2 linked regions of the Tamandua tetradactyla genome follow. The protein of the gene in region 1 binds, or shares a complex with, the protein of each later gene. Links are inferred from orthologs where the notes say so. Each region holds a gene or a part of one and is shown on either strand. Other genes may lie near its edges.

Evidence for each region.
Region 2: the proteins of ITGA2B (region 1) and ITGB3 are in contact, whole or in part, in a cryo-EM structure (PDB 8GCE), measured with the Homo sapiens proteins. The link is inferred for Tamandua tetradactyla from reciprocal best matches to the Homo sapiens genes ITGA2B and ITGB3. Residues at the interface, in NP_000410.2 of Homo sapiens: Gln49, Phe52, Arg72, Trp141, His143, Asn145, Glu152, Ala153, Glu154, Lys155, Pro157, Arg184, Phe191, Tyr197, Glu199, Phe202, Pro217, Tyr221, Phe222, Phe262, Asp263, Tyr265, Tyr268, Thr290, Trp293, Thr294, Gln315, Met316, Ala317, Tyr319; in NP_000203.2 of Homo sapiens: Ser188, Pro189, Tyr190, Tyr192, Ile193, Ser194, Pro195, Pro196, Tyr204, Asp205, Met206, Arg242, Asp243, Pro245, Lys279, His281, Ile282, Ala283, Leu284, Asp285, Arg287, Leu288, Ala289, Gly290, Val292, Gln293, Pro294, Asn295, Asp314, Tyr315.

Annotation. Positions count from the first base shown.
Region 1 is NC_135332.1:23,082,230-23,099,162, reverse strand, and holds the start of ITGA2B (integrin alpha-IIb), read right to left. Parts: upstream 9,083-16,933; 5' UTR 7,507-9,082; coding exon 7,319-7,506; intron 5,702-7,318; coding exon 5,580-5,701; intron 5,493-5,579; coding exon 5,395-5,492; intron 5,285-5,394; coding exon 5,119-5,284; intron 4,845-5,118; coding exon 4,795-4,844; intron 4,721-4,794; coding exon 4,675-4,720; intron 4,565-4,674; coding exon 4,436-4,564; intron 4,085-4,435; coding exon 4,037-4,084; intron 3,880-4,036; coding exon 3,836-3,879; intron 3,684-3,835; coding exon 3,630-3,683; intron 3,521-3,629; coding exon 3,468-3,520; intron 3,269-3,467; coding exon 3,057-3,268; intron 804-3,056; coding exon 621-803; intron 339-620; coding exon 293-338; intron 178-292; coding exon 73-177; intron 1-72. Other genes in the region: GPATCH8 (G patch domain-containing protein 8), read right to left, coding at 16,316-16,933. UniProt on the Homo sapiens protein: Integrin alpha-IIb/beta-3 is a receptor for fibronectin, fibrinogen, plasminogen, prothrombin, thrombospondin and vitronectin. It recognizes the sequence R-G-D in a wide array of ligands.
Region 2 is NC_135332.1:2,959,723-2,976,056, forward strand, and holds the start of ITGB3 (integrin beta-3), read left to right. Parts: upstream 1-9,238; 5' UTR 9,239-9,260; coding exon 9,261-9,339; intron 9,340-16,334. UniProt on the Homo sapiens protein: Integrin alpha-V/beta-3 (ITGAV:ITGB3) is a receptor for cytotactin, fibronectin, laminin, matrix metalloproteinase-2, osteopontin, osteomodulin, prothrombin, thrombospondin, vitronectin and von Willebrand factor.

The sequences.
Region 1 (16,933 bases):
AGTGGGGCTCAGGGACTAGGGCCTCCCCTGAGGTCCCAGATCCTGCGTGGCTCATGCTTTCGGTCTCCTCACCAGCTCACTTGTGTGCTGGTCTGGGGCAGAACACAATCCTTCACAGCAGGATTCAGTGAATCTTGCACCAGGAGCTGGACCTTGGCCACCACCACCGGCTGAGCCCTGATGGGATAGGGAGGTCTGCCACTGTGGCTGCTCCTGGCCTGGCCTCCCCTGATGGTGTGGGCTGCCACATCCTGTGCCCCTCCCCCACCCTATCCCTGAATCCAGTGCTCACCTGTACACAACCACCTTGCTGACCCCATAAGCTCCCACTAGCAGGTCTATAGATATTTGGGGAAGAGGGGGCAGGAGGAGTGTGTCAACATTGGCAATTAGGGAGGACATGGGGTTGTCATCTCATCTTGGGCTCCCCATCTTGGGCTCCCCACACCAATTCCCCTCTTGGAGGTTTGACCTGGCACCCCTGGCATCCCAGCCTCACTGATGGGTCAGAGCTCTCAGCGGGTCCCCAAATCAGGCATGGGCCCCTGGCACTGTCTCCCAGAAATTCCAGCTAATGCCCAAGGGCCCTTCTTGTCCAGCTGGAGGCAGTCCAGAGGCACCTGGGTATCCGTTGTCATCAATGTCTGTGGCACCTCGAAGGGAGAAGCCAAAGCCAGAGCCTGTGGGGAAGGGGCTGTCCAGGACCTGGGATGGGAATGAGCTCAGGCCTTCACTCTGACCCCGGAACACCAGCACCTGGCCCCGACCACTGGGTCCCCCGTAGGGGGCAGCCACTGCCACATCTGGAAGGAGTAACGGGAAGGGAGGGGCTGTTATACAATCTCTGCAGGTAGACCTGTGAAATTTATCCGAGCTTCTTTTCAGGACAGACCCACAGTAATCCAGGAGAGGGGTGTAAAAGTCCCAGTCAAGGAGGCGACCGCCCTGCCATCCAGGAGTTTACAATCCAGGGGTTTAGAAACTCATAAAGTAGGAATTGGTACAAAAACAGTAACAACTCTCACCATCTACTGAGGTAAATAAATTTGATATGATTCTCATCTAATCCTGAAAGTTAGGCATTACTATTCCCATTTGAAATGAGAAAACTTCATCTTAGAAGATTAAGTAACAAACACATATTATATCCTGACCCCCTCACCCCTAGGGTTCTTTGCCCCATTCCACTTCCACCATACAAACCCAGAGCCCCACAGTGGGAGTAACATCATTACTAACTTTCCATTCGGGTGAGGGTTAGTTAATTATCATAAGCTTACCGATTTATAAGAGGTCTTTGCTTATGATGGGTATTAAGATCTTTGGTATATTTTACAACTGCCTTTCCTTTGTCTTCTGTCTTTGTTTATGGTATGTTTTTCCTGTGCAGTTATTTTTTCTCTTACATGTCTTTATTGCTTTTTCTGATTGAGTCATGCAGAATTCACCCAAAAAGCCCACTTCTGACCACAATCATGTTTCCAGAGCCTTGGCCTCTACTCTTTCCCCATCTGTTGACTTCCTCATCTCTTCACTTATTCCCTGACCATTTGGGAATGCTAGATCCTCAGCATTTTTGTCCCACTGCCAGGCCTGGGCAAGTCTGACCTGACCCCACCTTGAGCAAGGTCAATATCCACCTGGACCCAGGTTTGTTGAAGAGATAGTGCAGATTGGGGCACCATGATTTTATGGTCTTTGACCTTCACCAGGGACCTTGGGGCTGCCTAGCAGTCAATCAGGGGTTTCTGGTCAGCTCCATGTCTCAGCCTGTGCAGCACATATTTCAAATCTCCATTCTGTCAAGTTCCCACCCCTCCTTCCTCCAGCAGAGGACGTCATCACGTATTTCATAAAAAGAAGCCATAGGAGTCCCCACATCAAGCAGTCAAAACTGTTATGCTCTTAATCCACACCCACTTTCCTTCCTCCTTCCCCTATTTGACCCTAAACTATGCATGTCTCCTTCACCCCTCTCGCCCTGCTGAGAGAGACGCACCCCCGCTTTGAAGGGACCCTTCTCTGGATCATCTCCCCCTCTTGTTTCCCCGCAAGATAATTTTCCTTCACATTAACCTACTCCATATTCTTCCAAACTAAAATAACCTTCCCTTGACCCTCCCTCCGTTCAGTGATTATCTTTTCTCTTTTATGTTCAAACTGGTTGAAAGAGCTGTCTACATCGGCTGCCTCCAAATCTTCACCCCCATTCACGTCTTGCCCCATGGCATTCCAGCCTCTGCCCCTACCCTGCCCTGAAATGGTTCTTTTCACTGTCACCGGTGTCATATTCACTTGCTAAAGCCCATGGATATTTCTCCAGTCCCATTTAATTGTACCTTTCAACAGTGTCAATAGTCCCATACTCCTCTGCTTAAAGTGCTCTCTTCCTCTGGTCTGGGCCATCAGATCTACTGGTTTCCTTCTTACCTCTCTGGACACTCTACTGTCTCCTTCCCAGATTCACTTCCTCTGTTAGTTCCCTAAATGCTCTTCCTCCCAGGGGCTCTGTCTTTCACGGACTTCTGGAGACCTCATCCATCCTCCCCAAATCTCTATCTCCCACTCGGACCTCTCTCATGGAAGTGGAGAAGCTTCATGCAATTATTCTCTAGATATTTCCACCTAATGCTTTCAAGCCTGTGAAGCTGAACAAGTTCAGAGTTGACCCATGGATCCCACTCCTCACCCTAAAACCTGTGGCGTGGCCTTGAGTTCCCTAAAGCAGTAAAGGGCTCTATCACCCACCCAATTCCTCCCTTTCACTTAGTTTCACTTCTAGTTACCCATCAAGTGCTAGTAATCTAAATTCTCTATCTGGGCAGTTGCCCTTATCTATATCTCCAAAGCCAAAACCCAACTCCAGATGGTCATCATTTTTTGCTTGGACTAATGCAAGCACATCCTAATTGGTGTCCTTTTGTCTAAGCACATAGATGAGAGAGTCATTCTTGTTTAAAGCTCTTCCTGGCTCCCACTGCTCTGAGGTCAAGTCTAAGCTCTGTGTAGTTGCTGTTAACCTCTCTGCAGCAATCTGGGCTCCTCTGGATCCTCACCGTTGTAGCCATCTCGGTCCAGGTCACCCAGGGGCGCGATGGCGGAGCCAAATCGTCCATAGAGCTGTGTACCAGTTAGCAGGACACTGGCGGTGCCCAGCGGGTGGGAGACACGAGGCTGCAGGAACAGGTACACACGCCCCACTTCCGCCAGCTTGCGGTCAGCACGGTTCGCCATGTACAGCGGTGCGCCCACTAGCAGGTCATGCCTCCTGCGGGCCAGAGGGTCATTGCGTGGGGTGGGGGGTGGGGATGCTAGGGGCCAGGGTGAAATCTGGCCCAAGCTCACTCTCCCGCCTCGCCTGGGTGATCACATGGGGGTGAGGAAAAGGAATGGAGGAGAGTGAGGGCGTCGCAGGCCACTGGTGACTTGAGACTCAGCTGGGTGAGGTGGCCCGCCTCCATCCTCACCCATCCCCATTGACGTCAGTGACGGCCACCGAGTGCCCGAAATATGAAGCCATCTGCAGGAAGACAAGGACATCTTAATTCGCGGCCTGGTACCTGACACCCCCTCTCCGACATCACCCTTTCCTATCTGGCAGCATATCCTAGAGTCTCAGCCTTCCCCACCTGCTCTCCAGACAGCTGGTGCAGCGTCTGGTAGTAGGAGTCCAAAATCTCCACCTGCAGGGAGACCGCACGCAAAGACATCACTCCCGCCTAGCACCTCGGCCTCCGGCTCCAGGTGAGAAAGGACAAGAGGTTTCCGGGACATTGTCAAGAAATCTGGAATCGTGGCCTTCGGGTTGCTGAGTGGCAGGGCAAGGGACACTCACCGCTCCCAGGGTCCAGCTCCAGGTGGGGGCACCGACGACATACTCTGGGGAGAGCCGGGCCCAGCCAATGAGCTTTAGTGACTACCCTCCTTCCACTCCCTATGCTGCACCCAGGGAAGATGTTGTGCGGGGCTAGAGGTGTTGCTCCCGGGTCTGGGCGCCCCAAGCCTCTCCCCTGTCTTGTATACGGGGATTTCTTGCCTGTGGTACTGGGGTTCCCGTCGAACTCGCCCACAGCCACCGAATACCCTGAGGACACAGAGCGAATTAGTTTTTTCCGGGTGGTGGGGAGCGGTGAAGAGGGACAAGGCCAAGGGCGAGGAAGGAGAAGATTCAGAGACCACCCAGTCCAAACCCGGCATTATATAGATGGGAAACTGAGGCCATCTAGAGGCCCAGACTTGCGCGCTGCGGGTACACGACGTGAAGGGACAGACGCAGGGAAGTGAGGCAGTCTGCCGGTGAACTACCGCCGCAGAGGGCGGAGGTGCCTCAGGTGGTAGGGCTGTTTAGTCTGGGTTGGTGGGCGGACCTGACAGGCTGGGATGGGCGGTGACTCTGAGGTTGTTGGGAAGCCTGGAAGGGCGGTGCCAGAGTTACCCCGGTAGCCATCGAAGTATTCTGGGTTGCTGGAGTCGAAGGTGAAGCTCTGGGTGGGCACGTGCCACAAGACAGTGCCCCGGCGGTAACTCGAGACTATGTCGGTGAGTGGAGCGCGGGCCAGGAGACCTAGGACCGGAAGGACAGGGAGTGGGGGGTCTAGACGCCGGTGGTGGTTTCCCGGAGGCACGGAGCCGCGATAAGGGACGGAAGTGTAACGGGTGGGATGGAGCACGTACCTACGAAAAAATAGCCGCCAGGGGCCCCAAGTACCAGCTCCCCAGCCTGAAAAGGAAGCCCTGGAGGTGAGAGGGGACCCTGTTCGGGGGTTGGCCCCACGCGGCTCTTAAGCTACTCGCCTGGGTGACTACGGAGCTGAAACCCGCTTCACAGTAGCGCCTGTCTCCGCCTAGAGGACGCAAGAAGGAAGGGTCAGAGAAAGGATGGACCTGGAAGCCCCGCCAGGGGCAGGGCGCGGGCGGAGCTACATGGGGCGGGACCATGTGGCGTGCAGAGGCCTGGCCTTGAAGCGGCGTGGGGGCGAGGCTGGACTAGGAGCTGGGCCATTGGGTGATGCCAGATCGAAAGCCGGGCCTCGGAGCTCAGACAGAGGGAGCAAATTAAGGGCGGGGCCGAATGACCGCAGTGGGCGGGCCAAAACGGAACGCCGCGGAGGCACTTACTGAAGTTATTCTTCACGTAAACTCTGCTCATCGTGTTGGCCCGGCAGGGAGCGTACTCCACACGGCGGCCGCTCTGGACCTGAGCCACGAAGCAGCTCCCTACCGGCGTCTTCTCGGCCTCATCGTTCTTTTCTAGGGCGTTCCAGTGTTGCCAGGGAGCGCAGGCCTGGGGTAGGGCCGTGGGAGATTGGGAAAGGGCGCTCGGCTCGGGATCCGCCTCGCTCTCATCCTATCCCAGATGTCCCTGCTCCCAGTGCCCCGTCCCGCGGTGCTCACCACAATGTTGTCGCTCCAACTGACGACCGACGCCCCCAGTCCTTGCCCGGCCTTGAAGGTTTGGAAGGTTTGGGAGCCTATGTTTTGGGTTTCATCCCCTGGAGAGTAGAAAGGGGTGAGGGCCTGAAGCCCACCATCCACACCCCCTCTGACCCCTTTCCCTGCCCCCTTTGCTTGTGACTCACTGAAGTCAAAGGGCAGCGAGGTGCACTGGTTGCCCTCGGCCCTCCAGGGGCACAGGAACACGCCGCCCGTCTCCTCCAGGTTGCGGCCCAGGGTCCGTGGGGCGCCCACCACGATGGCCACACTGCGCAGGAGAGCTGGGTGAGCGCGGTGTGGATTCCCTCGTGCCCCGGACCCCCGTGCCCACGCTGGGTGCACTGCCCAGAAGGGCAGGATGCCATGGACAGCGCTGGACCATCCTGCCTCAACAAAACCTTCCAGACTGTGGGGGCCAACCTCTTAATTTTATGGACAGTGAAAAATTACCCCCAGCGAGGGCAAATCGCGTGCCTAGGGTAAGATTTGAACCAGTTCAGTTTGATTTGAATACAAGAGATTTGATAACCCAACTGTCAAAGACTTTCCAAGCTCTGTACACCATCCCCACCTCCCCCTACCTGTCCCACTCAAATACATGCTGCTAGAACGTCTGTCTGGAGACTATTACACTGTCACCACATCTTTTCTTGAGAGCTGGTTTCAATGGTAAAGGAGAATGAGGGAAGCCAGAATGCCTCTTAGGTACAGATGGGAGGGGGGAGGGCTGATGGAGCTGAGGACCCTTAGCAGATCTAGGTCCAAATCACAACTCTTCATTTACTGTGAGACTTTGCTCAGTCATTTAACTTTTCAGTGAGTGTGACCTCACGTAAAATGGAGATAATACCAACCAATTAAAGCTATCAGGGGTAAATGAAATAAATTAGCATTGTGCTAGCCAAATACATAAAGGTTCTCAATAAAATGATATATATATTATAAAATTTTGTATCTAAATTTTATATACTATATATAGTATATATAAGAAATAGCATATATATAAAGCACATGGAATATTTACCAAGAAGTGGCCCTGGGATCAATGCCTGTGGAGGGGAAACAGGAGTGGGAGGAGGAGAGTTAAGCAGAGATGCAGACCTAATGACAGTTTTGTCCCCTGATTCCCCTCTCCTGGGGAGTTCTGGCAAACCCTACAGAAAAGTCCTGGGTTGAGGCTAGAATGCCAGATCCTTACACACTCCACCACCACACCCTGAATTCATCAGTCATTGGATGTGAGCCACCTTGGCAATGGGGACTTGACTTCGGGAGAATTAGCTCTCTTCAACAGAAAAAATTCCATCAAGAACATTTGCAGGCTATCTGCCATTGCCCCTCTCCAAAGATGGGCACCACCAGTTCCACCACAATAAGTTACTATTCACTGTAAAGCTATTAAGACAATGAGCCAGTTCCCTAATCTTCCCTGAAGATTCCCTGACTTCAGTCTATTTAATCCCAACCTTAAAACAATCCCAACCTTAAAATAACATTGCTTCTTTTCAGATATCTATAATTTTGAGGATTGGGGTGAGTAGATAATTTTACAGTTTTGCAAGTCAATTTAGGACATATGCTACTCTCTGTCTTTCCAAAGGGTGAGCATGGAGCAGGTCATACAACTTAACCTTGGGAAAAAACAGAAGGCAGGAACGTTCGTCTTTCCTTTGTTTTTGCTGGGGTTCAGTACCAACCTCCTCCCTGCCACCCTCACCTGAGTCAGTCCCTCCCTAGCATTCCTGTCTATAGCTCAGCCTGAACAGACTCCAATGTCATCTTGTTCAACCTCCATCATAAATGGGGAACTCGAAACCCACAGAAGCAGTGACAGAGTAGAGGGTTCCTTTTCTTTCCCAACACCCAGACTTCTCCCATGGCTCACCTCCCATGGCTGTCCTTGTAGAAGTCCAATGAAAACCCAAAGTGGCTGTCATTGGGGCCTGTATAAAGGGTGAACCGCAGTGGATCCAAGTTCAAGGCCGAGGCTGGAGGGGCAGCACCGGGTCCCAAGAGCAGCTGTGCCCACTCTAGGAGCCATAGGGCTTGCAGTGGATACAAAGCTCTGGCCATCTTCTCTCTCCCACAACCTTCTAGCAGAAATGGGCCAGCTCTTTCACTTCCTTTTGGTTTTCACCACAGAAGCTTTTCTTATCAAACTGAAACTCAGAATAACTTGCCAAGCAGTGGGCAGGGCAATGGGCTATAGGCCCTAGAGGCACTCATTTGGTCCCTAGGATTGCCAGGAAGTGGGGGTGACCTCACCCTGGGGGAGTATGCTTATGGCTGAGAGCTATGACTCCCCCTACCCGCCCCCCATTATCATTTATCACCAAGTCCTGTTGGATCTACCTCTTAACTGTCTTTTGAATCTTATCTTCTCTACCAGTCATCACTTTCTGCTTGGGATGGTGCAATCATGAATTAACTAGTGTGTACACCTCCATTGTAGCCCACAGTTCTTTACTACAGCTTTTGCATCCTACAATCCTGTCCCCACCTCACCCACTCTCCCCTAGCTGGCTGTACTGCTGTGCACATTGACTTGGCCAGAAGTTGGGGAAGGAATAAGGAAACTGCTGTCCCTGATACGGCCTAAGGATGCCATTTCTTTTTAGATATGGTACTTATCCACTTCCTCCTGCCAGGACCTTGGGCAGCCTCAGCCAGTTATATTGAGGCAGCAGCTTCCTCACTTCTCCACCTTGGGGCAAGTCTCAGTGTGGCCACAGCAGTGAAGCTAACACTGGGGAGGGGGTTGGTAAATGGATCTTGCATTTGGGCAAGGGAGAAAGTGGTCTTCCAGGGTATTCTGGTTCACAGACTCTGAGACTTTGTACCAGTTGTTCAGGTGGAAGCAGTGCCTTCTTTGGTGACAGAGCTTCTGTCCAACTATGAAGATTCTGGTGGGGTCACTGACTAGAGGAAGCCTCCCCTGACTCCTCAGGCTGGAGTCTGAGGCACAGTGCTGATCACTCCAGTTAGTTACAATCTGTTTGCTAGATTGGGTCCATGAGTCCTTGGAGAGCAAGTTTCCTTCTGAAGCCCCAGGGCTTAGTCAAGAACCCAACATGTAGTAGGTACAGCTGAAAGAACCATAAACAGACTGAACAGAAGCATGTACTTAGGCTGAAGATGCAAACATGGAATCACATATGGGAAGAAAAGGAAGAGTTCTGAGAAGAAAGGCAAGGTCATCTCTTATAGATGAGAGGAAGAGGACAGGAGTACCAATGAGAGGCAGAGGCCAGGAGTACCAAGGAGTAAAGGAACATAGCCACTTTTCGGAGTTCTGATTCATGTTTCTCTTCAGATCAAACTTAACCATTCTTTTATCCTCCCCAACTACTCTGTATTATTCTGGAATCCCTTAAGAACTTCCCTTTCCCTCACCACCTTAGCACATAACTCAAAATACCATCTTTCACTAGGGTAAAAGTTTGAGAGTGACAGCAACACAAGATGGCAGTTACCACGGACTCGGGAGAAAAAGTCCCTTGCAATTTCTGACTTCTGAAAGAACTCAAAGAAGGCCAAAAAGTAACAGGAGTGGCATAGTTAGCTGGGGTCTAGAAGATGATGAAGGCATGAATTTACAAGATTGACAGGGATGATAAATGGGCCTCCAAGAATAATTTATGAAAATTAAATACACAGTCTTAAAGCAGAATGTGGACATAAATACTCAGAAGCACTCCCATTTGTTAAAAAAATTAATATGGAGTTAATATGAATGGTAGACTCAAGAGCTCTCTCTATATATATCATTAGTTTTTCTGGAAGAGCTTTGGTGGCGAATGATGTCTAAAGAAAAAAATCAACTCTCTCAGCAGTTTTACTACAAAAAGAAAACAATAGGCCCTCTCCTGATCCCCATTTGATTTAAGCAGTCTTCATTTTCTAGAACTGTAAATTTTCTAGATATATTGCGTGGACCTCAAAGTACTGGAAAGGAAACTCCCATTCAGAGGCAATTTATCTTAAGATACTGTAAATGATACTATTGTTTTTCCATTTGAAAGATGTAAGTTATGCTATAACAAAAAAGAATCCTTGAGCTTTAGTCTGAGCATTCTTCAATGCTTGAATTCTTAGAGACAAGTTCATGGTAGGAATACAAGATATTTGTTCGAATAAATACTTAACCCAGCCCTCTAGTCTCTCTCCAACCTCCCATTGTCCTCAACTGAGTAATTACTGTAGTACTGATATACTTTGTATAGTCCAATGAACATGAATGCACAACTGCAGCAGAGGAACAGTAAAGCATGCCTTGAAAAGTTTAGATTGTGCCTAAAACCTCAATCATGCCTAGATGATGATATTTTTATTAATTAAAAAAAAATTAACACATTTAGAAATCATTCCATTCTACATATGCAATCAGTAATTCTTAATATCATCACATAGATGTATGATCATTTCTTAGTACATTTGCATCGATTTAGAAAAAGAAATAGCAAGACAACAGAAAAAGAAATAAAATGATAATATAGAGAAAAAATAAAAATAAAAAATACAAAAAATATATTAAAAAACAGAACAAAAAAAAACTATAGCTCAGATGCAGCTTCATTCAGTGTTTTAACATAATTACATTGCAATTAGGTAGTATTGTGCTGTCCATTTTTGAGTTTTTTTATCTAGTCCTGTTGCACAGTCTGTATCCCTTCAGCTCCAATTACCCATTATCTTACCCTATTTCTAACTCCTGATGGTCTCTGTTACCAATGACATATTCCAAGTTTATTCTCGAATGTCGGTTCACATCAGTGGGACCATACAGTATTTGTCCTTTAGTTTATGGCTAGTCTCACTCAGAATAATGTTCTTTAGGTCCATCCATGTTATTACATGCTTCATAAATTTACTGTCTTAAAGCTGCATAATCCATCGTATGTATATACCACAGTTTGTTTAGCCACTCGTCTGTTGATGGACACTTTGGCTGTTTCCATCTCTTTGCAATTGTAAATAATGCTCCTAGATGATGATATTTATATCATGTTTCTCATAACAACCCTATAAAGTAGGTACTATTATGCCACTTTACAGATGCAAAAAAGTGTAACGAAGAATTTTAGGTAAATTGCCCAAGTATACATAGCTAATGGGTAGCAAAATTAGAATTCAAACAGGTTTCTGCTTGAGTCCATGTTCTTAACCATTACACTATGCTGCTTTTTGTTAGAGAATGAAGGGGTTTCTAGGAACGGGGAATAACATAAGCAGAGTAACAGAACACAGAGGTCAATTATAGGGAAAAGCAAGTATTGACTCAGCATAGGGTGTTTTAAAGGGGTAGATTAGAACATGAGGAGGGAAAGGAAGACTGGGATCAAATCAGTGGAGGTCCTTGAATGCCACATTAAGGAATTTGCCCCTTAATCCTTAGGAGATGGTGAATCCTAAAGAATTTAACACAGGAAACAGAGACACACTGATCATTTAAGCTCTAATTTGGATGATTCACTGGCTGCCTGAGGACAGAAGGAACTGGAAAAGGAAAGGCTTAGTGGAAAGACCAAATAGGTAGTGACTACAAACTTCTGGGGTAAGGGTGATGATGCCTCTCGTAGAAGAAAACATAGGGAGGAATCTTCATAACCTTGGGTCTAGTAGTGATTTCTTAGATATGACACCAAAAGCATGAGCCATAACAACAAAATAGATAAAATGGATCATCAAAAAATATTTGAATGCCAAAAAGGACGCTATCAAAGAAATGAAAAGACAACCCATAGAATGGGAGAAAATAATTGCAAATCATATATCTGATAAGGGTTTGATATTCAGAATATATAAAGAACTGCTACAACTCAACAAAAAAAGACAACCCAATTTAAAAATGGCCAAAAATTGAATTGACATTTCTGTAAAGAAGATATACACATGACCAACAAATATATGAAGAGATGCTCAACATCTGGTCATTAGGAAATGCAAATCAAAACCACAGTGAAATACTGCTTCATATCCACTAGGATCGCTTTTATTAAAACAGAAAATAATAAGAGCTGATGAGAATGCAGAGAAATAGGTGGTAGCACTGCAGAGTGGTGTAGTCACTGTGGAAATCAGTTCAGTGGTTCCTCAGAAAATTGAAAACAGAATAACCATATGACCCAGCAACCCTATTTCTTGGTATATATCCCAAAGAATTGAAAATAGGGACTCACACAAATACTTGCACATCAATGTTCATGGCAGCATTATTCACAAAGCCAAAAGGTGGAAGCAATCCAAGCATCCATCAACAATGAACAGATAAGCAAAATGTGGTATAAATACTCACTGGAATATTATTCAGCTGTAAAAATAAATTTATGTATGCTACAACATGAATGAACCTTGAAGACATCAAGTTGAGTGAAATAAGTCAGACACAAAGAGAAATACTGTGGGATCTTGTTTATATGAAACATCTAGAAGAAACAAACGTCACAGTTATAGGTTACTAGGAGCAGGAAGAGAGTGTTATGGATTAACGGGTGAGGAGTTTGAACGATGAAAAGTAGGGGTGATGGATATGGGTGATGGTAGCACAATATTGTGAATATAGTAATACCGAGTTGTACATTTGAATATGGTTAAAATGGGAAAATTTGAGTTATATATGTTAACATAGTTTACAAAATCAAAAAAATAAAAAGGTGATGAGGCCTCAACCAGGGTACTAATGTCAGGAACAAAAGAGAGTGCAGAGATGACAGAAGCAGTTAACTGGATATGGTTTGGTGCCTGGCTGGCTGGTAGGACAGGAGTACCATTTAGAATTGGAAATAGGCAGATGAACAGATGTGGGGAGAGTTTGCTATTCAGTATGGATTCTGTTCCTCATGGGTGTTTCTTTGGTGTCAGACCTGGGTTGACCTTCCTTCTGAGATAGTAGGCAGAGGAATGCTGACACACTGCTTCCATTTTTTCACCCCATAAGCCTGAGTCCTAGAATCCCTCACTGAATTTAAAGTTCAATTAAGGCTTCATTTAGCCAACAATTATTGCGCTTCTATTATGTGCCTGGCACTGACCTATATGATGGGAAAAAAATAGAAATGTTGAATGTTCCCTTGATGAATCTTGATGTATAATCCTCAGTTTACATTTGATTATGTTCGTATCCTTTTTTTTATTAGAGAAGCAGTAGAATATCTTAAATATATAATCAAAATGTTAATATCTACTCAATTCTATGTAACACACACTAATAACTCTGAGAGTATTTGGCCTCTCAGAGCTTATAATTTTACTAGTAAACAGCAAATACAAAAAGAATTGCACTCAGATTCTGGAAAAGCAGCATGTTTACATGGGGCAGGGAATTCAATCCGAGGGTCAAGAAAACCAGCCAGGAAGATGTTACAATAATTCAGGCATGAGTTGGTAAGGGGCAGGTGAAGGTATCCCTTATAAATGAGAATGAAAATGGTTGACAAGGCCTGAGTTAGTCAAAGGGTGGAGAAGAGGGAGTACTCATATGTTTCAAGCCCAAGGGGCTGGGAAGAAGGTGTCAGAATACGGTAACTGCACAGACCTGTATATGGCATACTCTGTGAAGGCAAGTGTCACTTCTAGTTGACGCCTTGCTGCTCTCAGAAAAATCAATTTTCAACTTCTAATATCCTTTCCTTCTGGGAAGGGATCTTTGCCTTTTTAGGAAAATAGGTATATCCAAGCACCCAACTCAAGAGCCAAGTCAAAAAGCTCCTCTCTGGTGGACGGTAGAACACAAATTGTATGAGAGAATAAGAAAGAAATGGACATGGTATTCCTTTTTCAAGGGCTTGAGGATGAGAGGGGAATCTAATTTATCACTAAAAATCTATATTAGCTTTCCATGCTAAATTTTCCCTGCCTCTTTTGTGATTTTTTGATATGGAAGAGTAAGGATTTTCATCTGCTAACACTCAGGGCATATTTTCTTATATGAGGCAGAGACTGTGAGGCATTAAGAGTGGTATTAAAAGGTAGAGTAGAGGAATAAAAGTGTGGTATATAGAACTTCATTGGGAGAGCAAAGGCTGGGCAGGTGAAATCCTGTAATCCTAATGCCCTTAAATTCATCCAAAATACTAAATGTCACAGCTGGAAATTCCAAACCCATTTAGTAAACACCCACACTCCACACTATCTACTACACAGATTATAGATCTGAGAAAAAGGAAATAGAACAACATTATTGGGAAAGAGGGAGTATACAAGAGGTACACATTCCAAGATACCCAAGACTGAGAGAAACCTAACTATTACTTCCTTCCAGTTTTAATCTTTCCCTTTAACTTGGGCAGTCTTGAGTTTTTTTGTTTGTTTGTTTGTTTTACATGGGCAGGCACCGGGAATCGAACCCGGGTCCTCTGGCATGGCAGACAAGCGTCCTTGCCTGCTGAGCCAACGTGGCCCGCCCAAGTCTTGAGTTTTGAGAGGCACAATCCCAAACCTTACAAACAAATTGTTCACAAGAACCTATTCCCTGATCATTTCCAGCAAGATATTATTTGTAACACACAACTCCATCTCTTCCCACCTTGAGTGGATGGGGCAACAATCATGACAGACTCTGCTACGTTTCCACAAATCATTGGTTTATTAGAAAGTTCTCTTCCCTCATTTTACAGCATATATATCTCTATCATATGTGATAAAGTTAAATACAGTCTGCAATGCTTGTAAGGATAGGTTATTTCATTTTTCCTTTTTTTTTTTTTTTTTTTTAAAGTTTTAAAATCACTATTCTGGGAGTTAAAGAAAACTGCCCCCAGGAAGGCAGATAGGCAGCCACGCATGGCTCAATCTATAAGCTAATGAGAAGCAGCACAGAAATGTTAATACTGTATTATTTAAATATTTACATGGGCTGAAAGCAAAGAAAAATGAGTCCCTTCTCTTCAAACAGATGATTTCCTTTTCCCAGTGCTAGTCATTTAAAAAGTGATATTTCTGAATCAGACGAAAAGCACTGAACTACATGTAGGGGGCTCAGTTAAGGGCATTATTTACCTAGCACTTGCTTCTCATAAACTCAAAAAATGTTTTCTTTTGGTAATATGAGAAGAAAGACAGGAACACAGAGCCCTGGCCCAGGTTAAGATTTTGTTTTTGCTGTCAGGTGACCACCCAACCAATTCTAGACACAGGAATTGGTAGGCAAATGCCAAAGAGGGAACTGCTAACTACACCCAAGGAGATGGGACCTGAAATGCAAAGCACCTTTGGGTCAGTGTATTAATTAGAGCTGATAACCTGGGGGGACTGTGGTGATAATTTCTCTGGTCAGTGTCATGGGAAGAAATTAAAAAAGGAACCTTTCAAATTAGGCTGGACTGAAGACATGGAAACAATGAAGCAAAATAATTTGAAGTGTCTATAAATGTGCTCACCTCCCAAAAAAGGAGGAAGAAAACTGTCCCGATTCTATTTTCCTCCAGTCTACTCCTTCAGTTTCTAGCCAACCCAAAAGGCACATTTAAAAAATTGTCAGAGGGGGCTAAGTATTAGGAAGGCAAATGGACTGCCTGGAATAAGGCACCCAGGAAACCCAGGGTCCTCCAGACAATCACTCTGAATCCCACTGCTTCTACAGAATAAAGCTCCTGAATCTCCCCCTCCTCCTGTGGGGTTCATCTTTTCTCTGTATAAAATAGCAAAGCAAATGAACATCTCTCTGACACCCCCAGCTGACTGCTGCCCATTAGCTCAAAAATCCCAGTGCTGGGGGCATCACTTACTGCAAACTACTTAACATTTGTCCCAGCAAAAAATGTTAAACAATGTTTCTTTTTTTTTTTAAACATTTTTATAGTTCATAACTTCAAAAAATACATGACCTTGATAAAATATACATGCTTAGTCATTTTTGCATCTAGCAGAAAACAAATGCTTTATTTTTTGTTTTCATTTTATAACCTTTAAAGTTTCTTAATTCAACTAGGGCAAACATATTTACACAAAGCCACCAGAACAAGGATCACTTAAAGAGCTGGATGTAAAAAATATTATTGCAGTATACTACAAATATGGAACCTTTTATATATGAGCTACAAAAAGCAGCATTTACGTTTAGAGTTCAGTGCAATTTTTTACATTAAAAAAAATCCTATAAATTAAGAAGGAAACATCAACATGACATAAGAAAAAATACCCTTCAGACACATGAGCTCCTCTCTGGGGAAGCACATGGTGACTCCATGTTCCACATAGCTTCTATTCATGATAGGATCTCCTTTTCTGGGATATGCAAATGCCTCTTTTGGGATGGGGACATGAGGACACAGTGCCAAACATGTGGCTCTCTGTATGGGAAGTGGATAGAATTACAGCCAGATTAACATCTGGTTCCAGATCAGACTCCCTTTCCACCTCACCTGGTGTAATTTCACCAAGAGACAGTCAAAGACACTGACCCAAAGCAGTGGTGCTTTCACCACCTGAGGACAGTTTGGCTTCCCTGTGGCACTGAGAAGGCAGGACCAGATGGGTCTGTAGCAAATGTTTTGGTGACTACCCGCTGGCCAGAGAAGAGGAAAATGTTTAAAAATTTATAGAAGGGAAGAGCAGAAGATAAAAAGTAGAGGGAGGGTGTATCTAAACTTGACAGTTTGGAGATGTTGCTGCAGAGCAGTGGGTAGTACTTACTGGTGTTTCCCAGCTTAGAAACATAGAAGAGGGATGGACAAACAGGAAAGGGGAAAGGAAGACAAACAAACAAAAAAAATTCCCTGATAGTAAACTCAAGCAAACCTCAAATCTAAAACCACCCCTGCAAGCCAAAACTCAATTCTTTGGCTGTCAAGACACTGCCCACTCCAGCTTCTACTTGCTGGTATTAATGGCTCAACACCCCCAAGCACCTTCCCCAGCCCTTTCTGCACTCCCATCACTCAATTCATGTGCCATGGCTAGGGGGGTGCTGTAGATCCTGACCTGAGAAGATGGGATGAAGCAGTGGGTGAAGGTGAAGGGCAGTGGCAGCTGCTGCAGCAGGTCGTGGGGCAAGTAAAGTTGGGTAGAGGGCAGCATGTGGGACAGGGTGGAACGTGAAGGGCCCAGGATGGATGGCTGAGGCAGGAATGATGTGGATTGGATGACTAGCGAGGAAGGTGGCAGGGTGGCCAGGGATGATTGAGTGAGTAAGGTGAGACAACGAAATCGGGGTCAGGTGGGGCTGGGGAATGTGATGTACTTGGGCAAGAGGCTGAGGATGAGGGTGGGGGTGAATGCCAATGGCAGCAGCGGCTGCTGCAGCATGATGTTGCAGTATGGCATGCTGAACAGTTGTGATGGAGGTGGCAGAGGCTGTGGCTGGCTGCTGAATGTGGATGGGCTGCAGGGCTGGAGTAGCTGGGGCCAGGGCAGCTGAGGCTGGAAAGGCCTTTACTTGCTTGGCCAGAAGCTGTTGCTGGATGTGCTGCTGTGCGGCCTGCTGGAGCTTACTATACTTCTCCATCTCCTCAGGAGTGAAGGTGATAGGCTGGCTCTCTAGAGGGGCCAGTGAGGCATCTTC
Region 2 (16,334 bases), about 20 Mb from region 1:
TTAGATAACCTCAGAAAAAAGTCTCCAAATCCTCTCTACACCCATTTTCCTTATCCATAAAAATTAACTGCCTGTTTCCTGCCCTTTTCCCTACCCCAACCCAACCCCTCCCAACACACACACATGATTATGAGTTTCCATGAGACCATGGAAATGTAAGCCCTCTGGAGTCTGAAAAGCATTTGTTATTCTTATTATTGTTATTTGTGGAGAGATTGTAGAGCTCAGCGCAAATCCATTCCTCTAGTTGAGGAGCCTAAGTGTGAGGTATGTTGGCTCAGAATCTTCTCCTCCTACACATTTGGCAGAAGCTCTTCTTCTGTCCATTGAGGGAAAGAAGATGATCCAGCTGTTCCTTTGGCTTGAAGAAGAAGGGCTTTTCAGAGTCCACACTGATTTACAAGGGCATAGCTTGGAATCTTTGGGCTCTAGAGAGCTATCTGAGTAAACACCCCTAGATGTCATTAAGTTAGATGTGGAGGTATGAGTTTAACCTTGACATTCTAACGTTCAGTCACCAGCTTGGTTTATTCATTCACCTGTGTGCCAGGTGCTTCTCTGGACCCTGAGGATGTGGTGGTGAAGAACCTGAAGCCTTGGCTTTCCAGAGCTTGAGCCTGGTTGGGCCTAAGGCAATCAATTTCTGTCTCTGGAGTAAAACTCCTCCCTTACTTTCACCCAAGCCAGCTTGTCCTCTGGTGAGAAGGAAAAGTTCCACGGAACTACCAGGCTATACACAAAGAGCACAGCACCTCAGAATTGAGAAATAACAGTTAAAGCTCATTGAAGAGATTTTTCTGCTATAAGAGCTTACAATCTAGGTACTTCTTCAACGAGCCTTATAGAACATTCTGTACTCCTTAACCACTGATTGTCCAATCTCTGCCCATTTTATATTCCCTAATAACCTATGTTCTTAAATTCAGTTCTCACAGTTTGCTCATTATAATAAGTTTCTATAAATGAGACCATACAATATTTGCCCTTTTGTTTCTGGCTCCTTTCACTCAATGTAATTTCCTCAATTTCACATGGTTTCATGTCTCACAAATTCATTCTTTCTTGTAACCGCTCTATGTTGTTGTATGATTACATCACATTTTGTCCTTCTGTTCATCAGTCAATGTACCTCTAGGCCAACTTCATATAAAGGAGGGGTGAGAGTTTCTTGTTGTTGTCATTTCTCCTTTTTTTAGTTCTTAGTTTTATTTTGTTTTCTTCTTCTCTCTTTGTGGATAGATTGTTTTGGTGAGTGCATAACTATGTGATTATACCAGGAGATACTGACTGCACAGTTATGATCCACTCTATGGTACGTGAATAAAACTCTATAAAAAATAAACAGAAAGATACAAGTGCTGAGGAAGATGTGGAGAGAGATAAATACCTCTTCACTGTCCACAGGAAAGTATAATAGGCAGAGGAGAACTATGATCCTTGAGGGAAGGGAAACATAGGAGGTGAACCCAACAACTGCCCAGTTTTCTGCCTGGGGGCACTTACTGGATTGTGGTGTGGGGAAGTGGAGCCTAAGGAGTGCATGGTGGTGTCACCGAATTGAGACGGTACAGATTAGAATTCAGGGCCACTGAAGAAGCTTTAATTTTGGGGATAGGTTTTGGAGGAGCAGATGTTAAACAGAGGGGTACTTCCAGAAGATCCCTATAAATCCTTGATTAAGGCTTGGCTTTGCATGTACATGTTGAGACTCTACAAGGCCTAGCAGATAGCATCAGCTGTGGGGATGAGAGCTGGACAGAGATGCTAGAGGTTACACATGGCTTAGAGATTTTGGAGTTTCGAACTGTTCAGAATGAAGAAACCTCACTGAGTGACTTGGGCACTGTTTGATCAAGATAATCTGCCAGTAATTTTCACTAGAACAATACTTAAAAATCTTCAAGGGAAAACAGTAAAAAATTTACAATGCATAATCCCCAATATTCAGTATACAATATAGTATTATTATACATGTGAAGACACAGGCAAATGGGGCTAATAACAATAATAATAATAAAAGCAACCGATGTAAACAGACCTGATATGAGCCAGAATTGGCAGATTAAGATTTATTTATTTATTTATTTATTTATTAATTAAAGAAAAAAAAGAAATTAACACAACATTTAGAAATCATTCCATTCTACACATGCAATCAGTAATTCTTAGTATCATCACATAGATGTATGATCATCATTTCTTAGTACATTTGCATCGATTTAGGAAAAGAACTAGCAAAACAACAGAAAAAGATATAGAATGTTAATATAGAGAAAAAAATAATAATAAAAAATAAATAAAAAAGCATAAGACACAAACAAACAAACAAAAAACTATAGCTCAGATGCAGCTTCATTCAGTGTTTTAACATAATTACATTACAATTAGGTATTATTGTGCTGTCCATTTTTGAGTTTTTGTATCTAGTCCTGTTGCACAGTCTGTATCCCTTCAGCTCCAATTACCCATTATCTTACCCTTTTAACTCCTGCTGGTCTCTGTTACCAATGACATATTCCAAGTTTATTCTCGAATGTCGTTCACATCAGTGGGACCATACAGTATTTGTCCTTTAGTTTTTGGCTGATCACTCAGCATAATTTCTCTAGGTCCATCCATGTTATCACATGCTTCATAAGTTTATTCTGTCTTAAAGCTGCATAATATTCCATCGTATGTATATACCACAGTTTGTTTAGCCACTCGTCTGTTGATGGACATTTTGGCTGTTTCCATCTCTTTGCAATTGTAAATAATGCTGCTATAAACATTGGTGTGCAAATGTCCGTTTGTGTCTTTGCCCTTAAGTCCTTTGAGTAGATACCTAGCAATGGTATTGCTGGGTCGTATGGCAATTCTATATTCAGTTTTTTGAGGAACCGCCAAACTGCCTTCCACAGTGGTTGCACCATTTGACATTCCCACCAACAGTGGATAAGTGTGCCTCTTTCTCCGCATCCTCTCCAGCACTTGTCATTTTCTGTTTTGTTGATAATGGCCATTCTGGTGGGTGTGAGATGATATCTCATTGTGGTTTTGATTTGCATTTCTCTAATGGCCAGGGACATTGAGCATCTCTTCATGTGCCTTTTGGCCATTTGTATTTCCTCTTCTGAGAGGTGTCTGTTCAAGTCTTTTTCCCATTTTGTAATTGGGTTGGCTGTCTTTTTGTTGTTGACTTGAACAATCTCTTTATAAATTCTGGATACTAGACCTTTATCTGATATGTTGTGCAGATTAAGATTTTAAAATAGGTATTATAAATGTGTATAAGGAAAATATAGACATAATGGCTAAAGAGATGGTGAATATCAGCAGAGATATTGAAACTATAAAAAAAGAAAAAAGGAGAAATTCTAGAACTTAAATTTACAAATATCTGAAATTAAATGTCCTAGATAGGCCTAGCAGCATATCAGAGACTTCAAAAGGAAGGATTGGGAAACTTGAAGAGAGATCAGTAGACTCTTTAATGTGAAAATCAGAGAAGAAAAAGAGTGGAAAAAAAATGAACTGAGCCCCAGGAGCATGTGGGGTAATATCAAGTAGTCTAAAGTATGTGTAATTGGTGTTTCATAAGGAAAGGAAAGAGAGAGAATGGGCAGAAAAAACATTTGAAGAGATAATGGCTAAAAATATCCCATATTTGGTGAAATATATTACCACTTAAATATCCAAGAAGCTCATCAAATTTTAAGCTGGATAAATAAAAGAGAAGCACATCTATTCACCTTATGGTCAAACTGCAGGAAAATTAAAGATATGGAGAAAATTTAAAAGTAGCCAGAAACAAACCTGGGATAATTGAGCAACAAAATAAATAATGATAATTTTTTATTATAACCTGGAGAATAAACTAAATATTCATGAGTTCATGCTAATAGAAATAAAAAATCAAATTAAGAGAATAAGTCAGAAAGCACAGCACTTCTTTACTATAGAATATCAATTTATAGATACAGAAGAAAAAAGGAAATAGAAAATCACTATTAATCAAACACCACAACAATAACTGTTGCAGTCAACAAACATTGAAGGATATTAAAATTAGTGGGTGAAGTATGAAGAGAAATGGAATATTTACACAGACTCAAAGTATCGCCCCATCAGGTATTCACTAATTACAAAGAGAACAATACTAACTTGACAGTGAAGAAATGTGGCAGATACAACCATGGGATAAAAATTAATAGTATCAGTAATAAGACATATCAATATCACCTACCCCTGATATAATGTACTGAGAAGGCACAATATCATTTTTGTGGTATTCTTGTCCAAAATGCCTCAATCCAATCATGAGAAAACATCAGACAAACCCAAACTGAGTGACATACTGCAAAATAGCTGGCCTGGACACTTCCAAAGTGTGAAGATTATGAGAAAAAAAAAAAAAAGATCAAGGAACTGCCCCCAACACTGAAGGAGACTAAGAGAATGATAATTAAGTGTAATATGAGGTCCTGCATTGGATCCTGGACCGGAAAAAAGACATTCATGGGAAAATTGGCCCAATTCAAATACTTTATCTAGATTTGTTAATAGTATCAATGTCAATGTTCTGAGTTCAATAATTATGATTTGGTGATATCCGATGTTAACACTGGGAATGATCATATGTTAAGGATGTTTGTGTTTCTTTCTTGTCATATATATTTTTAAAATTTAAAAAATTAATAATAAAAAAAGATGCTAACATTAGGGAAAGTTTAGGGAAGGGCATAGGGAAACTCTCTTTAGTATTTTTCCAAGTCTTCCGTATGTGTAAAAGTATTTCAAAATGAAAAGTTAAAACAAGAAAAGCCGAAGGGAAAAGTCAGGGGAACGAGAATAGAAATGATGACTGACTTGGCGTCAGAAATAATAGTGGCCAGAAAACAGTAAAACAACATCTTTAAAGTACTGGCAGGGAGTGGGGAGGGGGCCTATTAATCCAGAAAATCTATATCTAAGAAATACCATCACGAATGAAGGTGATAAAAAAAAAAGAGGGCGGGCCGCGGTGGCTCAGCGGGCAAAGTGCTTGCCTACTATGCCGGAGGACCTCGGTTCGATTCCCGGCCCCAGCCCATGTAACAAAAACGGAGAAACAGAATACAATAAAAACAAGAAAATGTTTAAAAGATGTTTCCCTTTCTTCCTTCCTTCCTTCCTTCTATCCTTCCTTCCTTCTCTCTGTCTTTCCTTTAAAAAAAAAAAAAAAAAAAAAAAGAATGAAGGTGATACAAATGAAAGCCAAGTGTATTTGTTACCAGCAGAACTTAATTACAATAATTGCTAAAGGAAGTTATTCAAGCTCGAGGAAAATAATACCAAATGGAAACTAAAACACAGGAATAGAGAGCATCAGAAATAGTAAACATGGGGGTAAATTAAAAAGGCTATCTTTTTAGCTTCTTATTTACATTATTTGAAAGGCAACTAACTGCTTAAAACCAAAGTAAAATATTATGTTGTGTAATTTATAATGTATGTAGAAGTAAAATATATGATAAAAATAGCATAGCAGATGGGGTTGTGCCAATGGAATTACACTATTGTACAATGTATTTTGCATGCAGTGGTACAATGCTAATTCAAAGTAGATTAGATATGATAAATTGAGGATGCATATTGTAATCCTCAGAGCAACGATATGCACACACACCCCATAAAGAAGAGGTTTAGCTAAATAGCCAATAGAGGGGGAAAATGGATTAATCCAGAAGAAGGCAGAATAGGGAAAACAAATTGAGAAGATGGAACAAGTAGAAAGATGGTAGGCATAAATAAAACCATCAATTATTGAACTAAAATGTAAATGGACTGAGCCATTTCCCTTCCCTGGGGCTGGGAGCTCAGCAAGACTCATTGGCTTGGTTGCTGAGGCTGGAAGCAGTTGAGAATTTGCCAGCATATTCACCAGGGTTGGCCTTTGGTCAGTGTGATTGCTGAGGTCAGTGTCAATTCACCAGTGAACTGCTCTGGTCCTGCACTTTGCTTGTTTTGGGAGGTTTTTGATTACTGATTCAAACTCTTTACTTGTTGTTGGCCTGTTGAGTTCTATTTCTTCTTGATTTAGTTTAGGTGATTATTGTATTTCTAGGAATTTGTTCATTTCATCTAGGTTATCTAATTTGTTGACACACAATTGTTTTTAGCATCCTATTATAAAGCTTTTTATTTCTGTGGGGCCTGATTTTAATTATTTGTGTCCTCTCTTTTTTTCTTTGTCTAGGTAAGGTTTGTCAATTGATCTTTTAAGAAACCAACTTTTGGTTTTATTGATGCTCCCAGTTGTTTTTCTATTCTCTATTTCATTTATCTGTGCTCTACTTTTTGTTATTTCCTTTACTCTAATAACTTTGGGTTTAATTTACTCTTCTTTTTCTAGTTCCTCCAGTTGTGAGTTTAGGTCACAGATTGCAGATGTTTCTTTTTTTTTTAATGTAAGCATTTAAAGCTATGAATTTCCTTCTCAGCAGTGCCTTTGCTGCATCCCGTAAGTTTTGGTATATCGTGTTTTTGTTTTCATTTGTCTCAAGTTATCTTCTTATCTCCTTTGTGATTTCTTCTTTGACCCATTGGTTGTTTGAGTATATTGTTTAATTTCCACACAGTTGTGAATTTTCCAATTTTCCCCATCATTAATTTCTAGCTTTATTCCACAGTGGCCAGAGAAGACACACTGCATGATTTCAATCTTTTAAAATTTATTGATACCTGTTTTGTGATCTAATATATGGTCTATCCCAGAGAATGATCCATGTACACTAGAAAAGATTCTGCTATTGTTGGTGAGGTGTTCTACCTATGTCTGTCAGGTCTAGTCAATTTATAGAATAGTTCAAGTCTTCTGTTTCCTTAATTGATCTTCTGTCTAATGTTCTATCCTTTATTGAAAGTGGTGTATTGAAGTATCCTGATATTAATGTAGAACTCTCTATTTCTCTCTTCTAACCTGTCACTATTTGCTTCCTATATTTTGGGTCTCTGCTATTAGGTGCATGTTTATTTATAATTGTTATATCTTGTTAAATTTAACAAAAGATAAACCACCCAATTTTAAAAATAGACAAAATATTTGAGAAGACCCTTCATGAAATAAGGGTCTATGAATGGCCAATAAGCACATGGACAGGTATTCAATCTCATCAGGGAAATGCAAATTAAAACCATAATGAGATACTACTTCCCACCCCTTAGAATGGCTAAACTTGAAAAAACTAATGATGCTTATTGTTGGTGAGAATGCAGAACAACTAGTACCCTCATGCATTCTGGTAGGTGTCTAAACTTTATTTGTAAGATCCCCAAACTGGAAACATCCCACTGTCTACCAATAGAAGAATGAATAAACAAACTGTGGTATATTAATAAAATAGACTATTACTGAGTAATAAAAAAGAATGAATCACTGATATATGCAACAATATGAATGAATCTCAAAAAACAGTTTGTCGAGGAAAAGAAGCCATAGAAGCACATAATGTATGACCCTATTTTATGGGTTTCAGGAAGAGGCAAACTAATCTGATCTATGGTGAAAGAAATTAGAAGAGTGGTGACCTACCGGGGGTAAGGATTGCCTGGAAGAGGAGACAAAGGAACTTCACGGGATGATGAAAATATTCTTCATCTTGTGCATTTCATTCTATATAAAACTTATCTCATTAAAAAACTAAATAAATAGCAAATTACAGCATAGTCTGCTAGGCAGAGGTGTAACCAGGCTGTGCGACTTGGATTTTGTTCCAGGTCAATAACATTTTAAAGGACATAAAATATCAAACTGGTGATTTTAAAACATTGTTCGTGTTGTTAGGGCTTCTCCAGATGCTGCAAGCTATCACCCCACCCGCCACGGCCGTCTACGCCTTGCCCTGGACAGCTAGAGGAAATGGCTGGAGCTCGGGTCTTAAAGCCCAGCTCCAGGAGCCCCACTGGAAATGGCTAGTGATGCTCTGCCTTGATGTGTGCTACCATTAAGATGTTTCCTGATGCTATGGGAGATCTGAGGAGGGAGGGCCCACAGCTGCAGAGGGTCAGGCTGGAGATGGCGGTGGTAGGGCTAGATTACATGGAAGAAATGACATACACCCTGGAAGTTGAATTTTCCAGGTGGAAAAAGAAGAAAGCGGCTCCTGAAAGGCACGGGGTTTGTCTTGCGCTGGGGTAAGAGGAAGGGTGTAGGTGTGAGTCAGAGCTGTCGTCAGGTATCTTGTTTGTCTCAGGAGAGGGCCGGCAGTCTGAAAGCCTTAGGGAAGCCCCGGAGCTGGAGACTGTGAGTTCTTCTGTGAACGGATGCCTCAGGCCTCGTTTCCATTCCTATCAGAGCCTGCCCGGGACCCAGGCCTAGGGGCCTCCATAGCATTTTATCTCTTTTTCCGTGGGCAGTCACCAGGAATCAAACCCCGGTCTCTAGCACTGCAGGTGGGAACTCTGACACTGAGCCATCATTGACCGCCCCCCACTCCACACGCCTTTTTTTCCATAGCATGTTTTCATCTCTGGGCCTCTAGAGGTTTCCAGCCAGAGTTCTGACCCAAGGACTATGGGGTAGGATTCAGGGGAAGAGGTCTTTGCTGAAGACACAATAAAGCCTGTGGATTTCAGTTTGGAAGCAGTACCCTGATTGTGTCCTGAATGATTCATAGGCACCTAATAGGTGCAAGCATTTGTAGGGAGAGGCCCTTTATAGGCCTATTATTACTGCTTACACACGTTTGATCTCAAGCAGTTTACAGTTTGCAGGAAAACAAAACTAACCCAAGAAAAAGTACGGAGCTGGTAGTCAACAAGTGTCTGTTAATCAAATGAATGAAAGTGTGAATGAAAAAAAAAAAAGCTGATGGTACTAATGCAAAGTGTCTCAGGAATTCAGGCAAAAGAGATCAGTGCCAGGTGACTTCCAGGTGTTAGGAGAGCAGCAGGCTCCCACCTTTTCTGACAATACCAAGTGCCCTAGCGCGGACTTCTCGGACCTGGAGGTCTGTGGAGGATGCCCGCACGACCCTCTCCAGCCCTCAGGCCGACCGGCGGATCCACGTGGGCGGAGGCGAAGGGTCGAGATAGCAGCCGCAGTTTCCCACCGCCGGCCCTGGGTTCTCGGTTCAGAAAAAGGCCGGAGGGGAGGAAGCCGGAGTCGGCGGCCCGCCCCGTTGCGTCCCACCCACCACGTCCCCTCCCCTCCAGCTACGGGAAAAGCGGCCGCGGGCGCCACTGCTCGCTGTGGGGCTGGCGGGCGCGGCTGAGGCGGAGTGCGGTGGCAGGGGGACGGGATGAGAGCGCGGCCGCGGTCCTGGCCGCTCTGGGCCACTTTGCTGGCGCTGGGGGCGCTGGCGGGTGTCGGCGTCGGAGGTGAGTGAGGCTTCCCCTGGGCTCCGCGTCCCGCGTCCCGTCGCAGCCAGATCAGCACTTGGAGAGCTGAAAGCCGGACTGGCGCGTCCCTCGCGTCTGCCCTCGTAGTGCGCGGCGCGGGCTGCCATCCCTGGAGCCCGGAGCTGGCCCTTTCACGGGCCGGCGAGGGCAGGGTGAGAGACTCGCGGTGTTTGGAGGTGGGTCCGCTGGACGCGGAAGCCGTTAGCTAGGTTGGAAGCCTTCCCGGGGCGGCTCCGGAGTGAGCGGTGCTGTGGGCGCATCTCCCGGGCGCGCGTTCAGCCTCCGCTGCGCCTTTCACCGCTGGTCCCCGACCTCTAGAGAGAAGACCCGCTCTGGTAGCCGGCGAGGTGGGCCTTCCCGACGCTGCCCCTCCGCACTGGCAGAGACATGTGGTTGTAACTTCTTGGATGGAAATGGATGTGTACGGGCGGATTTTCCAGTTACTTGACATTCCTGTTTCTCCTTGTGTTAGCCTTTCTTCCAAGTGTCGTTACAGCCGCGGGCTCGTTTCAGAGCAGAATGAGGGTCCTGTCCCCAGCAGGGTTCCTGGCGGGCTGCGGGACTTCTGCTTCTGTATCAGAAAGCGGACCTGAAAAACTCTTGATGTTTTCGGGGAGCCACACCAAGGATCTCTGGGATGGTTTGAATCCCTAGTTTTGCCGCTCCCGCTGCTGAGCGCACCATCAGCTGCCAGGGCACTCGGTATTCCGCCGCATTGGTGCTGGGGAACGGGTGGAGGGACCCGGAGTGCGGCCCGTGGTGCTTCCGGGGCCTGGTGAGCTCCCAGGGCGAGCTCTGGCTCCAGGTCCGTCTAGGACGCATGAGTGTGCATGCCTGTATTTTTTATTTTTTTTTTTTTGCAGTTTTTAAAATTTTTTTTTATTAATTAAAAAAATTACAAGAAAGAAACAAACATTCTTAGTATATGCTCATTCCGTTCTACATATATAATCAGTAATTCACAATATCATCACATAGTTCATGCCTGTATTTTTGAGAAAAGCAGCAATTCTCTTTGGAAAACAATTTAGACCATATGGAAGGGATAACAACAACAAAGTACGAACTGATAAGTCAATTTCAAAGGTAACTGTTCAAATTATTGGTGAATGCCTTCAAGACTTATATGTGCAGACAATATATATAAAAGGAGCATACTGGATAGGGCAGCAGCATCTTGATGGAGGAGTATGCTTGATACATAGGTATAGCTGAAAGGTCCCAGGTCATGAAGATTAAAAAAAGATCAACTGATGTCCTCAGCTTGCAGTGAACAGCCTGATTGGTGACTGTCATGCAGAAATGTGAATCCCTGAGATGCTGAGAAATTATAACTTTGGCTCAGATGCTGCCAGCTGCTGATGGGAGAGAGGGGTTGGAGAAATCCACAAGCACAACTCAACTGTCTCATGAGATGCCTGCTTCCATGAACCTAAAACATCTTTTGCATCCACAGCTTCTCATTTCTGAGTGTAACCATATATTTTTTTTTTACAGTTTTAGAAGTAAAGAGGTAACATAAGATAGTGCCTAGCAAGATTCTTCACTCAGTGTTACTGAAGATGAAAGTGTCTTCTCTCCCCGGGTGTATCTTGTGCTGATCTAGTACACATGATTGTAATGACCCATATGGAATTCCACTGCATTGGCATGCCTGTTTGGTTGGCAGTCCTTTGCATGAAAGGTCCTTTAGGAGATCTGTTCACAGATTCATCGTAGTGAATTGGGTGCCTCCCAGAAGTGGTGGATCCAGCTCAGATGCCTTCTGAGAGGCAGGGTAGTGTGGTGGTTGAGAGCAGGGGCTGTTGAGTCAGACCTCCATCAAAAGTGCCCAGTAGAGCAGTTTCTGTTGTATTTGCACCCCTCACCCGGGTGCTGGCGGCAGTGTTGCAGGTGTCATCAGATTCCAGGGGAAGCAGGTGGTGGGCTAAGAGTAGGAGAGTTCTGTTGGGACAGTTTTGAGGGGACACAGAAAGAGCTGGTGGTGGCATGGAGACTGTCCCAGACTAGGAGAGTCTGGTATGGGGAGAAGAGAAGTTTGAGGGTAGAGCTGCATTTTGGATTTTATGTATAAGAATGATCTTTCAAACTTCACCCAAGCAATATTGGATTTTGTGGTTTCCTCATATTTAGGTCTTTATTTTAACCTAGAACCTGATGGATAGTAAGTTTTGTTTGCTCTCACCATCTAAGTTGGTTGATTCTGAGTTGAGGTGCTGATTTTTTCTGTTGAGTTTATATCCCAGCAACTCTTCAACCGAATCTCTCTGCAGGAACCTTCAGGTGAGGGGGGAGGACAGCTATGGTTTAGAGTCGTTGGATACGGTTTGATTCTTGACTTGCTTCTTATTGACTGTGTGACCCTGGAAAAGTGACTTAATCGCTTGGGGTTTCAGTTTCCTGTTTGTAAAGTGGCAGAAACAATACCTTGATGATTACGTTGAGTAAATGAGATAAAGGCACAAAGCAAATATTCAATAAATGGCAACTACTGCTATCATTATTCTTCCGTTCTGTAGAATGTACCATGTAAGGGTGCAAGAGCCATTACTGTTCCGGACATGAGTGCAAACCAGCTCCCAGAACGAGCCTGACAGGGTCCTTTTCCCCACACTTATGTGGAAGGGGCCTCCTCTTATTTCAGTCCATTCCTGTTGGGTGCTTGGCATATTTCAGCTATCTAACCCAGCAAGAACCTACAGGAGGGGGTGAGGACAGCAGAGGCTTTATCCAGGAGAAGATTTCAAGTCCTGACTCTGGGAAAAGAGGAAGATACAGGAGTCCATAAAAGTCCAGGTTCCATGAAGACAAAGACGTGTATTTATGGTCAACATTATCTCCAGTGTTGGCATATAGGCGGCAAAATAAACAGATGTCTATGGAGTGCTACGAAAAGATGTTGAGGGGTGTGGGCTTTACTTTAAGAAGCCTGATATTTGCACATCTTCAATCGTATAAGATCCTAAGTGCTCTAACTGGACACTGTAAAGTATTAGAATACACCTGAGACCATGAATTCTTTGCTGCGCGCTATTGTACCGTTTGGACCACTTAGGATGCTGGAAACTCAGTGGACTCCCTGTGAATTATCTTCCTGTTTTCCTTCCTGGGAGGAGCAAGGCAGGAGCACGTACTCCCCTGGACCTGCCTCAAACCTTTGAGGGTAAGGGCAAAGGTGAGGCGTGGGGGAGGCCTCCTGGGGACAGCACAAGATGGGGTGAGGAGGCCACAGTGAGGAGGGGAAGTCTGGATATGACACTGGAATTTCCTAATAGAAATTCCTCCTCTGCAACTCTGCACCCCACTAATGACTTCCGGTTATCATCTCCTCCCATCCCCAAGAATCCTTCTGCCCTTGTTGGCAGGAAGAGCCAGGAAGTGTGCCCACAGGAACCACAACTCATGAATCAGCAGACAGATAATTAACTGGGAAGTGAGTGAGCAGCTTCAGGGCTAAACCGCTTGCCTTGGTCCAGCCCTCTCTGCTGCCCGCAGAGCTGGCTTGCTGCTTCACCTCATCGCCTCTTCTTTCCCTGAACCTTGGCCCTTCTGAGTGGGAAAAATATTATACCTGGTGGAGCTCAGGTCACTAGTGGAAATGAAGGTGGGAGCAGGGAAATGACATAGCTCAGGGGAACCGCTTATTTCTGCTGAGTAAAATGCTGGCATTTATGTAAATGTGAGGCTCCTCAGCAAAACATTTATAAAATCTGCCTTTCTCTCCATGCACAGCGTATCCCCAGAAACACTTTTTTTTAATTACAAATTTGCTCTATTGAGGTATAATTAACAATCAGTAAAAATTTGTCCTTTTTTAGGCATATAGTTCTATGAATCTTGACAACTGTATATTTGAATATTTCCATCACCCAAAAAAGTTTTGTTAAGCCCCTTTGTAATTAATCCCTATCCCCACCTCCAGTCCCTGGCAACACCGATCTACTTCCTGTCCCTATAGTTTTAGCTTTTCTAGAAAGTCATATATGTGAAATCACACAATGCTGTCTCTAATCCTGGCTTATTTCATTAGCGTAATTCATTTGAGATTTATCCATATTGCATGTATCACTAGCCTGTTCCTTTTTATTATTAAGTGGCATTCCATTGTATGAATGCACTACCATTTACGTATCCACTAATAAATTGCCTTTTTTGACAATTAATGAAGTCACTATAAACATTCGTGTATAGATTTTTGTGTAAACATGTTTTATTACTTTTGAGTTAATAACCAGAAGTGGGATTGCTGGGTTTTATGGTATGTCTAACTTAAAAAAAAATTGCCAAACTATTTTCCAAAGTGGCTGTCCTGGTTTGCATTCCCACCAGCAATATATGAGAGTTTCAGATACTCTGCATTGTTGCTACCACTTGATATCGTCAGTTTTAAAAAGTTTAGAGGGCCGTGGTGGCTCAGCAGGCAAGAATGCTTGCCTGCTATGCCAGAGGACCCAGGTTTGATTCCCGGTGCCTGGTCATGTTAAAAAAAAAAAAAAAAAAAAACACTGTAGAAAGTTTAGATATTGTAATAGGTATGTAGTGATATCTCATTATTGCTTTAGTTTGCCTTTCCCTAATGGCTAATGATATAGAGCATCTTTTATGTGTTTATTTGCCATATGTGTATTTTCTCTGGTAAAAAATTTGTTCAAATCTTTAGCCCATTTTTGTGTGTGTGTGTGCTGTATGGAAGGGGTAACATTTCATTCTTTTTCCATGTAAGTATCCCCTTATTGCAGCAGCACCATTTGTTGAATTTTTGTTTGGTTGGTTTTTTATTTGTTTTGTTTGTTTGTTTAGGAAGTGCACGGGCCGGGAATCAAACTCAGGTCTCCTGCAAGGCAGGCAAGAATTCTACCACTGAACTACCTTTGCACTCCCCTTTAGCCCACTTTTTAATTCGATATTTATATCCTTCTTTTTGTGCTGCAAGAATTTTTTTTTTAATTCTTCTTTAGTTTTTAAAGGCTTTTTATTGTGTAATAGAACATCTATACAAATAAAAGAAAGAAGAAGCAATAATTTTCAAAGTACACTCTCAGAGTTTGTTATGGGTTTCCGTTCTTCTATTTCAGATTTTTCCTTTTAGCTGCTCCAAAACACTGGAGGCTAAAAGAAATATCAGTATAGTGATTCAACAGTCATAATTGTTTGTTAAATCATATTTTCTCTGTTATATCTCCTCCTTCTCCTTTGATCTTTCTCCATATCTATAGGGATCTTTAGGCAATACCCATTCTGACTTTTTCATGTTGAGAAGGGGTGCTGACACCAAAGAATAGGAGAATGTAATTAATTGGTAATCTTGGAAAGGCTTGTCCCTCTGGGTTTCAGGATTTATCTGGCCTAGGAACCCTCTGGAAATTATAGGTTCCAGGAAAGCAAACTCAGTGCATGCAACTTTTATAGAGTCTCAGCTCGAGCCCCAGGTGTTCTTCAGGGTTAACAGGAATGGTTTTGGTTGGAGTTTGACAAACCATAGTAATGATCACTATCTAACTGAAACTTACATAGGAGTAGCCTCCAGAATAGCCTCTTGACTCTATTTGATCTGTCTTAGGCACTGATGCCTTTTTACGCTTCTTTTCCCCTTTTTGGTCAGGTAGGTTGTGTTGATCCAGATTCATCCCTCAGAGTTATGATCCAGGTTGTCAGGGAGAGTCTCATCCCTGAATGTCATTTCCCATGTAGTGGGGAGGGTAATGATTCTCCTTGCAGAATTGGGCTTAGAGAGAGAGAGAGAGAGGCCACATTTGAGCAACAAAAGCGGTTTCTTGGAAGCAACTCTTAAGCCTTGTTATAGGTAGTGTTAGCTTTTCTATTACAGAAATAAGTTTCATAAGGGCAAGCCTCAAAATCTAGGGCTTGGCCTATTTTCTTGGGAGTCCCCAATGGTTGAGGGAGCGGGTACCTGGGGTTTCCCAGATGGGAAAGTTTAATAGTTGTTTTTTTTTTTCCCCTTCAGACCCTCAAGGGACTTTACCAATACTTTTTAGTTATCAGCCCACCATAGTCTGAGATATTTGTAATTACATTACAATGTGTAGACGTTCAAGGCTTCGTTCCCCGTCTGGACTCTAGGAGTTTGGGTTGTTTAAATTAGCTACCCAGACAGGTTGATTTAAAAGATGATATATGATATACATATATATATGATATATATATCATCTTTACCTTGTATTCTGATTTGCCTTAGTCCCAGGCAGATTGGCTTCTTTTTTTATCTCTAATAGAGGCCTGATATTGTTTTGATTATTTTAACTATTATTGTATATAGCTATGCTAACTTGCAGGGCTGCAGCACTCCATTTCTGGGTCACAGAGTTACTCAAAGTTCTAAGGAAATACCAGCTGATACACATTGTGCTGGTTTGAAACGATGCATGTTTCCCCTAGAAAAGCCATGTTTTAATCAAAATCCCATTTCATAAAGGTAGAATAATCCCTATTCAACACTGTATGCTTGAAACTGTAATCAGATCATCTCCCTGGATGATGTGATTTAGTCAAGAGTGGTTGTTAAACTGGATTAGGTGACAACATGTCTCCACCCATTTGGGTGGGTCTTGATTGGTTTATTGGAGTCCAATAAAAGAGGAAACGTTTTGGAGAATGGGAGATTCAGAGAGAGCAGAGAATGCTGCAGCACCACGAAGCAGAGAGTTCACCAGCCAGCAACCTTTGGAGATAAAGAAGGAACATGCCTCCCGGGGAGCTTCATGAAACAGGAAGCCAGGAGAGAAAGCTAGCAGATGACGCTGTGTTCACCATGTGCCCTTCCAGATGAGAGAGAAGCTCTGACTGTGTTTGCCATGTGCCCTTCCACTTGAAAGAGAAACCCTGAACTTCATCAGCCTTCTTGAACCAAGGTATCTTTCCCTGGATACCTTAGAGTGGACATTTCTATAGACTTACTTTAATTGGGTCAGTTTCTTGGCCTTAGAACTATAAACTAGCAATTTATTAAATTCCCC